Linked DNA regions of Drosophila melanogaster. The protein of the gene in region 1 purifies or fractionates together with the protein of each later gene. This does not show direct contact. Each region holds a gene or a part of one and is shown on either strand. Other genes may lie near its edges.

What was found. Proteins that work in one complex are often made in the same cells at the same time.
Region 2: the proteins of al (region 1) and CG34132 purify together in Drosophila melanogaster (affinity purification with mass spectrometry, with the first as the bait; 2 studies listed by BioGRID). This does not show direct contact.

Annotation. Positions count from the first base shown.
Region 1 is NT_033779.5:376,242-381,851, forward strand, and holds the start of al (aristaless), read left to right. Parts: upstream 1-1,870; 5' UTR 1,871-2,240; intron 2,241-5,610. UniProt on the Drosophila melanogaster protein: Involved in the morphogenesis of proximal and distal pattern elements in a subset of appendages. Also has a role in early imaginal disk development.
Region 2 is NT_033779.5:7,883,283-7,887,305, reverse strand, and holds CG34132 (uncharacterized protein), read right to left. Parts: upstream 1,804-4,023; 5' UTR 1,658-1,803; coding exon 1,502-1,657; intron 1,430-1,501; coding exon 1,331-1,429; 3' UTR 1,197-1,330; downstream 1-1,196. Other genes in the region: small ribonucleoprotein particle protein SmE, read left to right, coding at 1,963-2,247; CG7102 (uncharacterized protein), read left to right, coding at 254-378, 609-771, 836-998, 2,518-2,651, 2,725-3,395, 3,478-3,769.

The sequences.
Region 1 (5,610 bases):
AAATTCAATTGTTGAGATAATAATTACATTAGGACGTGCGCGCATGCGCGACTCTTTCACTTTAAGCCTCCGTCTCTTTCGCGCTGTGGAGCGATCTGAGCCTGCTTAGAGTGGACCCGAATTGAGTCCGAACGGGGAAGAATGTCCACACGGATGTATTGAGACAGAGGAATACCTAGTACTAGATCCATTTCACCGCTAAATTACGAAATTTCCCTATTCGAATAAACCATCAAATATCCTCTTATAAGCATATATGCTGCGGACTGAATCTGTACATATAAAGACCTGACAATTCTCTAATTTGGATTCCGATTAAAATAAATTAAATGAAGTTCAATTGTGAGGATACCATCTTATTCAAGGGTAAATACATCAAGCCCTTGCTCTTCCCGAACACTGGGTATAATAAGTGCACACCTTGCGCGACGGGCTGATTGACACGGCCACATGGGGACGAGAGATACCGTGCTCGGTACCAGATATTCCCGATCCCGGTCCGAGTTTGCTGTCCATTGAACTCGTCGGACAAATGGTCACTCCTCGTCCGTCGACGGTCGATGGTCGCTGGTCTTTTGTTTGCATTTCGCCCGTAAATGAAGCGTGAAATTGGCAGCAGTGCAGCGGACTCGATCCAACTCCGACTCCAATCCCTATTCCGATCTGCAATGGAACTCGGAGAGCGTCGCATTGTTTACTTCTTGTTAAGGCCCGACAATGGGATAATATGGCCATATAATGGCAACACCAAACTATTTGTATGCAATTGCCATTAACACTTTATTTATTGCCTTGCGATACAAGCAAATTGGGCAGCGAATGATGGTCGAAGGAGGGGGACGCTTCCAGTGCAAAATGCCGCTGGAATGGATCTGTGGATGTATAAGGCCCGCTTATATAAAGCCTAATGAAGTGGTTATCAAGGAATGGAATCTGTTAGGTCTGCTCGGAAATGGCAAGAGCTGGGCTGAGTTCAGTTTTTCATCATGGACGGAAAACATTTTTCCTTGGATTACATTAAATTACGAAGATGGATGTGATAAAAATGATGTGATGTACAAGCCTATGGCTTGTATTTCACGTTGTATCAATCTAAATCAATATTCACTTATTTAAAAACTATCAACGGCTTTTCCAAACATCCTTCATTCAAATTTAACTTGAGTCATCTACATAGCTGGCTCATTGACCTTTTTCTCAAGTTATTGCCCTTCCCCGCATGACACCCCCACTCCGATGGGTAAGCAAAACAGTCTACAGTCCGACAATCATCCAATAAAGCCAACAAAGTCATTAACGAGGCCCTTAACACTACCAAAACGGTCTATATGGCCGGTTCCAAGTCCCCACCCCAATACACGCAACTCTTTTTCCCATATGTCTTGGCTAAATTATTTAATTTATGAGCCGCAACAACTGGCAAATGCATCTATGGCAACCAGAGGAAAACGCGTTGAGCTGGGGGGCAAATAAATTTCCATTTTGCTAATCAAATTTATTGCACTTTGTGCGGGGCTTATTCAATTACGCCCAATCGAAGAGGCGCGAGAGAGAGGGCCATGCGGAGCGACAGAGAGCGGTAGAGAGCAGCTCCGCCATTATTTCGCTCCGTCGAATGCTGCTTTCCCATAGGCCGAACCGCCAGAAAGAGGCGGAGTCCGCCTCCCGGCCACCTGCCGCCTCACCTGCGACACCTGCGACGATCGATCGACATGCTCCGATCGCATCGCTCCCTCTCGCTCTGCGGCACTACGAAACACTAAAAACACTGGGAGGCCAGAAAACCACTCTCGCAACATTGGAAAACAACAACTCCAACCGGTTGTTGTTTCAGACCCACCAGAGTTTTCACCTGCGCGCCAACTGCTCACCGTGTAGTTTGCTGCCGGCTCTGGAACAGCCCGGTCATCTCGTCGCGTTCGGTTCCGATTCCGATTCGAATAGTCGAGCTGGGGATACATTGTTGTTTCCGGGTTAAAGTGCGTACGATTGCGGAAGTGTCGGTATCCTGCGCGTAGTACAAAGTTATACCCATCAAAGGTGTATCGCGATCAAAGTGAACGCTTGGTACTCGGTATCTGGTTGTTGGAAGAAGTGGACAAAAGACCGTCGGCAAAAGTTACTGTTGGTGAGAGCTACAGGGCTTATTAGCCCGGTTAAATAGGAAGAGAGAGATTCAGAAGGCCAAACATTATCAAGACCATCCGTACAATATCTGGCGATTAAGGAGGAGAAGGAAGGTTAGTCTCAGACATTTTATCAAAAATATATGAAACATTCTTTGGACAGAATAGGATTTGTTATATCGAGAGCGTGCATTAAACAGGGAATCCTAGTTACTGTAACTCATAATTTTTTATCACAACCGTAGTCATTGCCTTATATCATATCAAAGATAGGGATTTTCTTAATCAAGCAATTTATATAAATTTTGTTTTAGCCCTAAACTAATCTTGACCCTTTTCCGCCACTTCCGATCCCCAAATCACATAAACTTATTATCACACCTTGCGAATAACCTACTTCTCAGCATGATAGACAAATACTACAAGTATAAGCCATAAATGAATTTCATAATTCACCTGTCTAATCATCCCAATCAATGTGAAGAGGGAAAAATAAAACGTATGACGAGACATAAATATCATTAAATTTGATTAATTTCCCACCTGGACATATCAAATCAGACAAATATCAAGCCAAATCGTATCATCGCTGTAGAATAGAATTTTATTAACTCAATTTTGAGGGTCGAAAGATTTCGCCTTTGCCTTAGCTGATAGTTCGATAAGTTTATCGCTGATTGGTTTTAATTAAACACCATTAAAGAGTACAAATTGTCAGCAGTGCAGTCAGCGCCAATAAATCACGTTTTGTCTAGCTGATGTTTTTCCCTTCTAGAGGTGGTTTTGGTCGAAAGTTGGGGGCATAGTCTTATGCTTGTCCCGTGTACCTACAGAATAAATGAAATTAACCAGCCACACCTATCACCCGCCGATAATCTTGTCAAAAGCCACTGACCACTTAGCTTCGTGACGCGGACGAGGGCCCCGAATATATAGTGAAAATAACACAAATATAGACAGATATGTGGGTCCTGATAAGGCAAAGGAAAACCGGGACCCTCTTTCCTGGTGATAATCGGGCACTTGGCCAACTGATTTAATTAATACTTATAACTCATGTGACTTGTCAGCACAAGTTTAAACGAATTTGTGACGCAAGTTGGTCGCAGTGTATTTGTATCTATGAGGTAGCATCATTCCCAATAGATAATACCGAAAAGATTCGATAAGATTGTCCCGTACAGCGTAAAATTAAAATATGTTCTCCACCGAAATGTAGTTCAATTCAATTACGGCAACATACAATTAAAACTTGTTGCCAGATACCTTAGATACTGTATCTTGTAGATATACACCCGAATTTTTGGCAGCTATCTGAACACGAACTCTGATTTGATTTGATTCGCTGTTGTTCGATTGCTCGACAGCTCCCAATTTGGGGCGCTGTCTTTTGAAGGGATGTCGGTTGATTGTTGATCGTTGATGGCAACACACCCCCCGAGAGAAATCTTCTCCAGCGGGAAGATGGCGCCAGGGCCCTTTGAGATGTGCTTCATTAATTCTTGTCCCCTGCCCCTCGCTAAATGGAACATGCAAACATGAGAAATTAACGTCGTCGTCCACAAATTGCCCACCGTCTGCCTCGGATTCGCTTATCAAACCACACAAGACAATGACAAAGGGCAGGGCGGAACAGTCGAAGATGGAGATGGCGTCGGGCAACAGTTGTCCAATCCCCAGATCCCCGATCCCCGAACACCGATCACCGATCCCCGATCCCCTCCGGTCCCAATTTATAGCTCCTCACTGCGACTGCTGTTCTTAACATGCTTTTTATGAGTAATTGGCCCCGCATCAACATCACCAACACGGGCTAAGCTTGTAGCTACAGCATCGCCATTCACCATCAACAACTTCTTGGTCTTCTGTGTGGGTCTTGAGTTGCTGATCCTGGCTCTGAGTCACAATTTGAACTTGCGTCTACCTTTGGACTACCGTCCCGGCACTCTGATCCATTAGGGTGGACACGGGGTAATTTTTGCTACCTGGGAGCGAATCTCGAATGCCCTTGGAGAGCTCGAAATCCATGTGTCAATACATTTTTACCCAAAAGTTCAAGTACATACAATTTTTATTGTATTTAGCTAATAGATAGTCTCAAATGGGAACGTGTTCTGCCTGTAGACCTAAAACTTTAATGTATACCTTAAATTGTAGACATATTAGGGATTATATAGGATAAGTAGATCAACAACTTAGTTGACCAACTTCATTCACCAGGCGTAGGGGAAGGGTACTAGACCCTTCGTTGCAACTTCGTCTGATAGGCAGTAAATTGAATTAAGATTGTGGAAAAGAACAACAAATGAGGCAGCAACTTCGACACAGGATATGAATAAACTAATTATAATTGGGAGTGTGTGCATTAGAGGTCCATAACGTACACCCCAGAACAAGAGGTACAGAAACAGACGATGATGACGGCGCCTGGCCAACAACAAGAATGCTGCCTTATCGCACCTGGTCCAAAAGACGGCGCCAAGAAACAAACAACCCAACAACTGGAAGGTGAATGGAGGGCTCAGGTGCAGCTTAAATGAGATAAACACTACGGAATTGACTCGACTCGGCCCAGCTCAGCTGCTTGTGATATTAGTTAAAAACATTTCTGGGTGACTTACAAGAGCTGGTCGAAAATAATAATTGGTCTTATCGAACCAAAAGTAAACGACCAAGCTTGGAACGTCGCTGGCCAATCCGTCAACTTCTCCAGGGGACCACCAAGGGACTGGTATCGGGGGCGATCATTGAGCTTTCGCTCGGGGCCAAAAGTTAAGCCACCCAAAATGCTTGCCATTATCGAAGAACCGGAGGCGAAATTACAATGCCGATCATCAAAGTGTGACTAAAGTGGTTTAGCCTAATGTAAACCCATAAATAAGCAGCCCAGATACCGGCCAGACTGGGGACTGGCTGGAAACTGGAGTCTGATCAATAAAGTCTGGAGAGTGGAGGATCGAGACGGAGGCGCATTAACGAAATGCCAGAAAAGAGCTTCTGTTTGCTGTTCTACCTGATGCCGTCCCTCTGGCCCGGCTTTTAATGAAATATGCCAGCCCAACAGTCCCCAGACACCGAGAATCGAGGATCGAGGATTGCACCGGGAAGATCGGGAGCCGAAGGAGCTAAAACACAAAAGTGCAACCATAAAAACGACACCAAACATGAAGGAGCCAACTGAAGGCCCAGCCGAAGTCGCGTCTCTGCGGAGAGGAGCTGCGCAGCTTTGAGTTGTGGAAAGAGCAGCCAGGCAAGGCAGAAACATTGATGCTTATCGAGATGACAGAAGTGACGACAACGGACGCCGGACAGCGGACAGTGGGCAATGGAGTACATCGGATGGACGGTGGACAACCAAATAGATGTAGCTTCATACACTTGTCTCGCATTACGAATTAATTTCTTCATTTGCCATATGAATGTACTGAGAGAAAGTCGCTAAATGTAGGATAAGTTTATTAGCTACGAGTGAAATAGCTCCAAT
Region 2 (4,023 bases), 7.5 Mb from region 1:
TTTGCCAAATCGATTGTGGCTTGGTGTCGGCCAAGAATTTTCAGCCAGGAACCGGTTTCTGCGCTCCCACGAATCCAGCGATTAAAAGAGAGAAATAAAGAGAGTTTCCAAGTTGAAAACATAAACAAACCCAATCGCAAAATAATAACAAAACCCAGTGCTTGCAGAGGGACAAGGCAACACGTGCACTTCTGCACGAATGATTGCAATTTTTTGAGCCCAAGAATACCGCACTTAATAATAAAAATCAATCATGAGTCTGCCCCAGTTGATCGAGGATCTGCAGCGCCTTTCCGAGGATCAGGATAGTGCAGATGTGGTATTCATTTGTGGCAGAGATGAGCGCATATATGCCCATAGATTAATGCTAATGGCTCGGTAAGTTAAATTGTTTTTTCAAACAAATACTTAAGAGATTAATAAATTTTGGTGATACCTTAAAATCTTATAAATGCCAATAACTGTATAATTTTTCTCTGTGGAATAAGATAATTGCCTACGGTTGCCTTTTTCGGAATCTTACAATGTTGCGTGCTGGAATCCCGGGTATTCCAGTTGGTCACTTAATTAATTTGTCTTGCCTTTCCATTCACTCAATTCGATTTCAGGTGCAAGAGCTTCAAGACTGCGAAGAGAGGTGAAGTGTGTCGAATTCCCGGATGCACAGTATCGCCAGCAGCCCCAGGAGCTTCAACTCCGACCACCATACGATTACCACACGTGAATCCGGAACTATTCAGGCAGTTCATCTTGTACGTTTACACCGCAAAGGTAAGAAAACTACTTATTAGTAACATCTAACATAATAAAATTATAACCAAAATTCATTTTTCAGTTGGTTCTCCAGGACTCGCAAGTATTTCAAATGATGATATTGGCACAGGATATCGGTGTGGTTGAGCTACGAACTGCCTGCGAGGATCACGTTATATCGACATTGTCGGTGGATAATGCCTGCACATTTTTAACCGCCGTTATGGATATACACGAAAAAGCAGGTTAGTAATATTGAGTAGCTCTTTTAGAAAATCACACCTTTAAAAGTAAGCAATTATGTGAAGTTGCATATTCGCGCCAAAACACTTTATACATTCTACATAATATGCTATGTCAAATGTATTGAGACTAACCATTCTGAAAGTTTTGGTATTTTTTGTACCACATCACATATCGATAAGAAAAAACATATGCACGTTGTGTTATCAGAATCACGTAACACGCAATGCATGTTTTTATTGCATTATCAAACTTTAGATATAACAACTAATCAATAGCTGGCAGATATAGTTAGTCCCAAGCTGCTCCAAAATGCAGAAGCCGATTCGTGTGTTTAGAACTTGGATTGTTCACGTTGTATTCTTTGGCCGTACACCCGAGAAATGAGGTTCCACGAGTCCATAAACCGGTCCATGCACATGGAAATGCATTTCTAAATTGGATATTAATGAAATACTATTTAAATACATATTCTATAGTGCAAAATAAGATATGTATAGCTTGCCTGTTCGGACGAATCGAGGGAAGTTCCCGGCTTATTGACACATTTTTTGAAGCACTTTTCGGTCATTTGCGTGAGCAATTCCTGGGCATTCGCAACAGCAATCTGTTGCTTAACCTGGTCCATAAGTTCACCTTTGTCCACATTAGCCATAGCCATTTGTTTGGTTTTCTTTATAAACTATAGTTTAATTCAGCTATGAATAAATGGCAACAACTTCTGCCCAACCACAAAAACTTAACAGTGCGATTGTGATAGTGTTTCTATCGATATGGTTATGCTACCAGAGGATTTACCATTTTGGTATCTTTAGGCTGGTCGATAGTTCGGTAGGCCGCGATTATGTGTGACCATCTGTGCTGTGCCATCGATATTTCTGCCTATCGCCTGGACGAAAAGAAGACGCCGGCAAAAAGAAGCGAAAATTTGTTTAACTCAAATTAAGTCGTCGGAAATCAGCAAAAATGTCGTTCAAAGGAAATCCCAAGGTGCAGAAGGTGATGGTGCAGCCCATCAACCTGATCTTCCGTTACCTGCAGAACCGGTCCCGCGTGCAAGTTTGGTTATACGAGAACATATCGCTGCGCATCGAGGGCCACATTGTGGGATTCGATGAGTACATGAATCTGGTGCTGGACGACGCCGAGGAAGTCTATGTGAAGACCCGGCAGCGCCGCAACCTCGGGAGGATCATGCTCAAGGGCGACAACATCACGCTCATACAGAACGTCAGTCCCACGAAGGACTAGGCGACTCAGCGGCCATCCTGCGAATCCTTCGAATTCCACCTGCAAACGCTGAACGCCCTTAATATAAGTAAAATAAATGTAAAGCCGATATCTGAAGACGAATGTTGAAATAAATGGTAGACTTTCTGTAATCAAGTGTTTCTAATGGGTAAGGTAGCAAATACGATCCGATTTCAGGACATATAGAATAGGATGCTGTCTCAAGGTAAAAGCCGTTGAGTGTCTTTAAAAAACAAGGAATTAATTTTAAACTTTCCCTTTAAATTTCAGGTGCCAAATGCGCTGCCTCGTTTATGGAACGCTGCATCATCTACATAGGGGAAAATGCAAATGAGTGCGTTAAGACTAATGCCTTCCTTACTTTAACAAAGGATGCCATTATTAAGATTATTTCCTCAGACTATGTAAGAGTTTATAATGAATAACCACTCAATTTACTGAATTTCTTTAATTACCAAAACTGTTAACTACCAATAGTTCTGCTTGGAAGAGGAGGAAGTGTGGCGCTGCGTTTTATCCTGGGCCAAATACCAGGCAGGAGTCACCCAACCCACTGCACATTGGACTGAGGAGGAGCGTGCTCGTGTCTGCCAACACTTAAGCGGTGTAATGGGTCACGTGCGTCTGCTTCTCATCGATAGCCAAGTTTTCGCGGAGGAAGTGGAACCTACAGGAGCTGTACCTATGGAACTATCCCTAGAACGATATCGCTATGCCGCTTTGCATGCCAATAAGATGATGGATAACGATAAGAGACTTCAGCCCCGCCTAGCTGTAGCGGTCAACATGTTTCCCGGATCCCAAATCCTGAAGAATGACAATCTGGCACTACAGACTGTTCTCAATAATTGGGTTGGAGTGGGCAAGCAATCCTGGAGATTAGTTTTCCGAGCGTCCACTCATGGCTACGATTCTGGAGCCTTTCATCGTTATTGCGACGGCGTGGCTCCTTGCATGGTTATTGGCTTGGGATCGCATGGAGAGATCAGTGGTGGTTATACGGATGTGGCGTGGGCCAAAACAAGCCGAAAGGGGGGATATGTTCAGTCCGAGCGAGCCTTCCTCTTTGCCTTGAATCCAGCCAATGGGGAACAGCCGGTCAAGTTTGATATTGTAAAGAAACCATATGCCATTTGCTATCATCCTGAGTAAGTGATGTCTAAAATAATCTTATATATTACATTATGTTTAGGAATTCGTACTGATTACCATGTCTGCTTTCCCCTTTAGTTGCGGTCCCATTTTTGGTGCTGGAGCCGATCTGCTCATTTCCAGCAACTGTAATACAAACATGGACTCATACTCGAATCTTCCGCATTCCTACGACGGAACCAACGCTGCTCACCTGACACTTTTCGGGGACTATAACTTTACCATCACCGACTATGAGGTCTATACCCTTTCCTCGCCGGCAGGAAGTAGTAATAGTGGAGCAAATCACAGCAATAATCAGAACCTGAACCACTCAACAAACGGCCAAGCTCCTGGGGTGCCCACAAAGGCAAAATACGATAGATACTAGAATTGGGGAAACAACTTGTAGTTGCATCAGCTATGCTGGCAATAAAACTATTTCCTTGAACGATCCAAACACTCGAATATTGTAATCCCAGATCCGCAACGGCTGGGCTAATGGCATTAGGTGTCGGGTTCATGACTCCGCCCAAGGTAAAAACCAGAAATCGAAAGGTAATTAATGAATTGTTATATAAAGAAAACTTTTTTTGGCGGCTGTCTTGAATTCCATCTTGATGCCAAGAATCGAACCAAATTAAT